Linked DNA regions of Kluyveromyces lactis. The protein of the gene in region 1 interacts with the protein of each later gene in a biochemical or structural test. Links are inferred from orthologs where the notes say so. Each region holds a gene or a part of one and is shown on either strand. Other genes may lie near its edges. The genes, in order: RAD54 and MEK1.

Region 1 (4,273 bases):
TATTCAAACTGTATTTATATAAATTAGGATCGGCTCAAAGATCTCGAAAACTTGAGTTGCCTCTTCATATTAACCGAGTTATCTGTTCCGAACCGCCCAGAAACCGAATTTATTAATGCGTCTATATAGTAGTGAAATTAAAATGTACTTTAAAAAAATGAAAGATCAATGCGATATATATTGAAATGCAAAACTGATGTCTTTGTGATTGAATTCATTTTTCAAGAGATGGTCGTTTGTTTTTGCTAATGCATCGTGATTCAAATGATTCCACGAAGTCGCGTCACCGTATAGCATTACCGGAGCTTTCAAAATTTGCTTTCCATTCTTACAGCGTTTACAATTATATGTCTCATGGGTATCACATATGGTTTTTGTATCAAGTTTGAACAATTGCTTCAAATTATCCGAACTGAACAATCGTTCAACATCCTCCTTTTCATCCACAACACATGAACTCAAACTCATCTTCATCGATTGTCTTTGGAAAATCTTCTCTTCAATGGTACCAGTACTAATGAATCTGTAGATAAAACAATCTTTCTTTTGCCCATCTCTCCAAACTCTAGCCAAAGCTTGTTGATCTGCAGCCGGGTTCCAATCTGGATCTAATAAAATCAATCTGTTGGCACCAATCAAGTTTATACCGCAACCACCGGCCTTGGAACTTAACAAAAATATAAACTCTTGTCCCTCCGGATCATTGAACCGGTCCACTAACTTTTGTCTTTTATTGATGTTCATGGTACCATCCAATCTCAATACGCCATAGTGGTTACTAAAACACATTTTTTCAATCAAGTCTAGCGTCTGGGTATAGTTTGAAATCAACACAATCTTGTCGTTAGACTCCGTTTTAATTTTGTACAAAAATCTTGCCAAGACCGAAAACTTACTGGAAAAAGCTGTCTGAATAACGCTTCTATTTCTTGAAGTGCGGGAGTCAACAGAAGATTGATAATCGTCGGGTATTAACTCTTCTGAACCCGGAATGTCTTCAGATAGCTCTAATAAGTCTGGATGGTTACATAATTTTTTTAACAAACCGATTGCCTTCAACGGTTGGTTACTATCCCCTTTAACGATCTTCTTAACAGCTCTTGATTCAATGAAATGCTGATATAGAGATTGCTGAAATGGTGTTAAATTTATGAATATAACATGCTCGTATTTGCAAGGTAGATATTTTGCCAAAATATTGTTGGTACGCCTGATAATGAACTTCGAGACAATGTTTGAAAGTTGTCTCAACCTATCCTTACCCAAAGTGACCTCTTCATCTGTAGCCAATGAATCTCTACTCTGTAAAATCGGTAATTCGAAGTTTTTCCTAAAGTCATTTCTGGAACCCAACAATCCGGGATTTGAGAAATTTAATAATGCAAAATACTCCGATAAATCATTTTGAATCGGAGTTCCCGATAGAATAACTCTTCTCGGACACCTAATGGAATCCAATGCCGTGAATGTTAAGGAATCTGCATTCTTCAAACGATGCCCCTCATCTGCTAACATTAGTCCAACCTCACAGTTCTTTAACTGTTCGACATTACGCCTTAAAGTGTCATAAGAAATGATGAGGACAGGTTTGACGATATTTCTACCTTGAGCTGAAGCCCAATGACTCACTGAATCCGCCACATTTCCATTATTTAGACTGGACTTTTTACCGTCAATAGCCAATGAAGAAAGAGAACCTGGTCCCAACCATTTGTCAATTTCATTTGCCCAATTGTTGACTAAAGATGATGGACACACAATAATACATTTATCAATTGATCTCCTACCTTGCGGACCTTGTTTCAACATGGTCCACATTAACGCTAAGCATTGTAATGTCTTACCCAATCCCATTTCATCTGCCATAATACACCCATAGGCTCCCCTGTTTCTAGAATTTTCATTGATTTTAATAACGTCTTTAAGGGACGAGACATCAGTTTCAACCGGTGATTTCGAACCTGTTATGTTAGAATCAGCTTGTGTATCAGCTTTTTCCATTGATTGAGAGCTTGAGTCCAACACTGTTTTGGCATCCAAAAAGTCTTTCATGACTAAACCAGTAACACATCTATACAAAAATCTAACACCCTCAACTTGATGCGGTCTTAAAATCTTAGCCAATTTGGGATCAATCACAACTGGTACGTTGGGGAACTTTTTTGATGTATTATCTTCAGAAGATCCTAATAGCTCTTTTAGGGTTTTATTCTTCACACCGTTGGATAGCATTTTAGGGTGATGAATTGATGGAGCAGAATTGGGCGAAGATTCCTTTGCTTTCTGGTCTTGCGACTCTGAATCCTTCCCCTTTTGAGACTTCTTAGTGTCTACTGCATTTTGTCTAAACGATTCCAAATCTTCATGCTGCTCAGGGATATCACCGTCCACTGTAGGATCATAAAGAACGATGGCAAGCTCGTCTGTCGGATCATGCAACGGTCTTGGTGGTATAACAACTTTTGCCTTGGTTCCCAAAGCCATCGGAATATTGTGCCTTGGAACGTACCCCTTGATCGGTACGGTAAATGACCGTCTTAATGTTGAATATATTGTATCCAGTCTTGATGGCTCTGCATTCAATCTGGATAAAGATAGTGCATCTTTCCTTTTAACGTGCAAATCAGAATCTAAGGAAGAATCCATATTTGCATAAGTCGTTTGAGATCTTCTTGAAGATCTCACTCCATATCGTTTGGCATGGTCGGTTTTATTAACTTTAAACGGAACTTTGAAAGGTTTCGTTAACGTTTCCAGTGCTTGGTTAGTGTCCAACCTTCTTGGTCTCAAATTTGGACGAGCTCCAGCACCGATCCCGTTTGGCGGTCTGTCTGGTAACCTCCGGCGTGCCATAGTCTTTCGGTAAATGAAACGATGGTATATCCCCTGGTGTTAAGTGTGTACATTAAAGTAAGACTAGGGCATTATAATCATTCACCATGTTAATCATTTTAGTAATGTATTTTATGTTTTGTAAATAAAGATGATGATGAGATTTCAGTTGAGGCAAACACGAAAACGCGTGGTGGCAAAAAATCAAAAACGTAAACATTGCTGAAAAGGAAAAATACAAGAAAGCATTACCCTGACATTCACGTGAACGTTAACCAAAACAAAAGATTACCTCCGAAATCGTAAATTCCATTGAAGTTACCCTACCACATTAATGATGGACAAGCCTCAAGGAACGAGCGCACTTCCACAAATTTCGGAGCCCCTCACCCAGTTTTCCTTCGATATCATTTTGTTGCTAGGCAAGACATTGTATTCAGACCACTCCGAAAAAAAAGAAAAAGAAGTCAGTCACCTGATACAAAATCACATTAAACTCCCAAAAACTCCGAAAAGGGTAACCTCCAGCGTTCTTAGTATAATCTCGCATACGTCTCCAACAACCCCATGTGGGTAGCGATAATTTCCCAACACGCCAACTCTTGACAACTATTAGGAGCCAACGGACATGTACCTCCGATTCTCTCAATTACATCTTTGATAATAGTGCTCGGTTGTTAAATCACTTACAAACTTTTTTTTTTAAAGAGGAGGGGAAAGGGGGTTTGTTCCTTTATTGGAGACAGATTCGGATTCCTTCGGCAAAACTTTCAATGTAAATAGAGAGGTGGTGAGGAGTAAAAAAGAAATCTTGATAGATATCAAAGAAAAACACGCTCACATAATATTCTAACTACTTAGGGTCTCAAAACTGGAAATTGTCGGAGCTTCTTATGTTTCTGCTAATCGAATCTCCATTAAAGTTTCTCTCCTCATAAGGGGGAGTTAAAACAGATGGGAGTACCATTTCGGTACTCCAAGCAAACTCCTTAGCTTCGTATTTACATTGCCAGGCGTAGAAAACTGGAAGGACTTCTCTATTATGTTCATTTTTCGTTCTTTTTGAAAAAAAAAAAAAAGACAGTTTCTCCGATTTAGAGCTAGAAAGCGTTGTAGTGGAGGCAAGATTCTCAAAAAGTTTTTCCATTCTAATCTAACGGGGAACCAGTTTTTGGTGCCAACCGATTTGTTTCTAGTTAGAGTGACGACTGTGGTTACGAATTTTTGGCCAGATGGAACAGAGCTTTATCTTGCCCCACCGTTGGAGTTTTTGTTAGCTACAATCAACTACGTAGTAATCCGGTACTTGGTTTCTGTGTGGTGCAATTTTTTGGGTTCGGGAAAACAGAGGGGTAGAATGTGCCATTATACCTAATACTTACGAATTGAGCAATTAGCGACAATTATACCCAGTCGTTTACGCCTCACGTACCAGAGAATT
Region 2 (3,669 bases), on another chromosome or scaffold:
AAAGCCTGTTTAAATTTACGCTCTCTAAGTAGCACATCCATATACGAAGAAACAGCTGGTAACCATAGTATGTCCTTTCGAGCACCGCCATTCTTTCCCGAGTCTTTATACCATGTAGAGTTCAAAAAAGCTCTTGTGGAATCATTAAGTAGCTTACTGGACCCACGATCTCGCAATAACTCTTCATCCAAGGTTTCTCTTAACAAAGAGAGATATGATTGATCGTATGAAGAAGAAGCAACTTTTTGTTTAGAGATCGCACTGCTTATTGATTTTACCTTATTCATGACGCAAATGCACAAACCTCACACAACAAATTTGGTAAACAGTAATGTTTTGCTGGCTGAGGGCTTACAATTGTGTAAAAAATAAGTCGAATGTTAGTGAAGATGGCAGTGAAAAGAAACAAAGAGCGGCTCAGTGCAATACAAAAAGCATAACTGGAAAGTGCCTTAATTCTTTGGATGTCGTCTTAAGTTAATTTTTTTTGTATTGCCAACTGTATTTGATATATGAGAGAAAAACAAAAAAAAATGAAAGCGATGAGCATAGAAAATATTGGACGGATAAATCAAGAAACAAAACACTATGACACGAAAAGAGCGTGTAACAAAGAGAGTATCTTCACCAATGGCACTTTATGTATATATAAACAAACAGATTCAAAGCTGACCAACTTTTTAATAGCAGCGTCACATTAAATATTGTTTGAAAAAAGTTTCAATCGTTTGTTAGGGTTTTTTTCGGGGGAAAGTTTGACACTTTTCGGTAGTTTATGTTTTACAACAGCAAAGGTATCAATGTTCTCATCAATTTTTATGCAATCAGAGCTTAACTGTAAAACTTTCTTTTTGTATATTCTTTCCAATTGACTAGTATGTTTTTCCACCCAAACCTGATGTAAAGCTTCTTCCACATCACATCTATTAAAAGTAGAAACTTGTAGACATTTCTTAACAAAACTCTTGGCACTATCTGTGATAGCAATCCATTGTCTAGCAGTAAAATTTAGTTTTCCAGTTCTAACATTTTTGATGATGCTTGCTTCAGATCCATCACCATAAAAAGGGGAAATCCCAGTGAGCATGATGTGTGTTATGACGCCGAGGGACCAAATATCGCACTTGGAATCATAGCCGTTGTTGTCTGGATCTAAGGTAGCAGTTCTACTGAACGATCGATAAATATTACGATCGGCTTTGAATCCCACTTCTGGTGCACAATATTCCGGAGTACCGACCACAGTATGCATTCTTTCTTTTGTATTTTGAGATAATTCTTTTGCAATACCAAAATCTGCAAGAACAACCTTAGTACATGGTTCTGGGGTATGCAAGAGGATATTGTCCAACTTCAAATCCCTGTGAACGATGCCGTTTGAATGTAAGAACTTCAAAGCTAAGAGAATCTGATATATGATTATCAACGATTCTGTTTCAGAAATCGGAACTAAGCAATCGCCTTTTGCCAAATAAGAGAAGAGATCACCTCCCGATATAAGATCCTGAAAAATGTATACATTGCCAAGGGCATCAACACAAGATTGATGAATACGAATAATATTTGGATGATTCAATTTTTCAAGAATGGTGGCTTCTTTCACCATCCTAGTCTTTGCAGTGTTGATAACTTTTACAGCATATGAAACAGTCTTTTTAGCAACTTGTCTTTTCATATTGTGGTCCACTTTTTCTGCTACCAAGACATGTCCAAAAGTTCCTGAGCCCACTATACGCGGCACAATTTTCCATCGATCCCATTCCGATTTAATTCTCAACCCAGTCATAAACTGTGACATCGTTTCGCTTTTCACTGCAGAGAACTTAAATTTTGCCCCGTTTGGTAATTGAATCACGTCTTGGTTGGATAACAAGTATGGGACGTCTCTGGATAAGACCTGCTCATTGACCATCGTCCCATTCAATGACATATCCTTTATGTAGCAAAGTGGAACGCTCTCGGGATCAAATCTGATGCCCCATAGCACACAGTGAATGTTCGAAACAGAAGGATGTTCAACAGAGTAAATACACTCCTCAGTGTTCCGTCCAAGTTTCAATACCTTATTAATTTCAATTTGGAAATGATTTACGATGAACTGCGGCGAGGAGTCCAGCTCGCTCTCCAAATCGACTTCCAATACTCCCAAAACTTTGTCCATTTTTTTAGCCTCCGTCTATCCAATATAGTGGGAACTATTCCAACAGAGGGAGAAGTGGCTAATGAGGCTCCTCTTAAGGATCTGAGACTGCCATGCTGTATGTTTATATAGATGCCAGATGTGCGCGGCTAAAATGAAACGACAAAAAAGCGAATATTAAGAAAACAAACAACCAATTCATTACCCGGCAAGCAAAGAAGAATGGCCCACGTGAAACAAAATTGCAATCCGATGACATAATCACAATATGCACCACGTGACTCTAAGATCCTCTTGAGCACAATTCAAAAGAAACACATACCGCAAGTAACCCCACTTCCCATATCGTTCAACGTCCTCTCCAACCTCTATCCTCTACATGCAAGCACAGGCGCTCAAACACCACCATGTTGCTCGCTAACAACTTCTAACCCTCTCATAACCCTTCATTAATTGTCACTGGGAACGTTCCAGTCAGCAATGTTTGCCTGAACTTCCCCTCTGTATTTCGAAAAAGTACTCACGAACTCTACGTACTCCATTCATCACGGCCCTCGAAGAAGCTTTTTTCCCTGCAAAACAGTAAAGAAAGAAAAAGAAAAAGCCATGAAAAACTATTATGGGAATTACTCACAGTCAAGTTCTGGCGATACTTTTTTCTGGCGATGCTGAAATATTGAAAAACTGAAAAATTCTGAATCGAGTGAAAAATTTCGGCAAAAAGACGTGATGTGATGAGCCATGTCTTATATATATATATATGCACCAGAACAGTCTTTGTCTGGTGAGATTTTAGGACACGGAGTTTGTGCAGTTGATTCATAGGATAGCTATTTAGGGGAGACATTAAGCTACTGTTCCAAAGGTGATACGACCAGGCAACCATACCCCATATTGAGTATGATATTCAGGAACACCGTTGTGCGTTTAGCACAGGCTGGGAAAAAAGCTATTCCTCCAGTGAAACTAGCGTACAAGAATATGCTAAAAGATCCATCGACGAAATATAGACCATACCCACAGATCAACTTGGAAAATAGACAATGGCCTTCGAAGACCATCACCAAGGCTCCTAGGTGGCTTTCTACCGATCTAAGAGACGGGAATCAATCTTTACCAGATCCTATGTCTGTCGAGCAGAAGAAGGAATATTTCCATAAGTTGATTGAGATTGGTTTCAAAGAAATTGAGGTCTCATTCCCATCTGCGTCGCAAACAGATTTCGACTTCACAAGATACGCTGTTGAAAACGCCCCAGAAGATGTTTCCATTCAATGTCTTGTTCAATCGAGAGAACATTTGATTAGAAGAACAGTTGAAGCTTTGCATGGTGCTAAGAAAGCCACCATCCATACGTATTTGGCCACCTCCGACATGTTCCGTGACATTGTGTTCAACATGTCCCAAGAAGAAGCTATTGCTAAAGCTGTGGAAGCCACCAAGTTAGTTAGGAAATTGACCAAGGATGATCCTTCGCAAAGTGCTACACAATGGACTTACCAGTTCTCTCCAGAATGTTTCAGTGATAC

The links.
Region 2: of the proteins of RAD54 (region 1) and MEK1, one has a biochemical effect on the other in vitro, tested with the Saccharomyces cerevisiae proteins (2 studies listed by BioGRID). The link is inferred for Kluyveromyces lactis from reciprocal best matches to the Saccharomyces cerevisiae genes RAD54 and MEK1.

The regions. Positions count from the first base shown.
Region 1 is NC_006037.1:271,351-275,623, forward strand, and holds RAD54 (DNA-dependent ATPase RAD54), read right to left. Parts: upstream 2,854-4,273; coding exon 166-2,853; downstream 1-165. UniProt on the Saccharomyces cerevisiae protein: Plays an essential role in homologous recombination (HR) which is a major pathway for repairing DNA double-strand breaks (DSBs), single-stranded DNA (ssDNA) gaps, and stalled or collapsed replication forks.
Region 2 is NC_006042.1:2,197,906-2,201,574, forward strand, and holds MEK1 (serine/threonine protein kinase MEK1), read right to left. Parts: upstream 2,162-3,669; coding exon 698-2,161; downstream 1-697. Other genes in the region: KLLA0_F23485g (uncharacterized protein), read right to left, coding at 1-287; KLLA0_F23529g (uncharacterized protein), read left to right, coding at 3,041-3,669. UniProt on the Saccharomyces cerevisiae protein: Probable protein kinase required for meiotic recombination.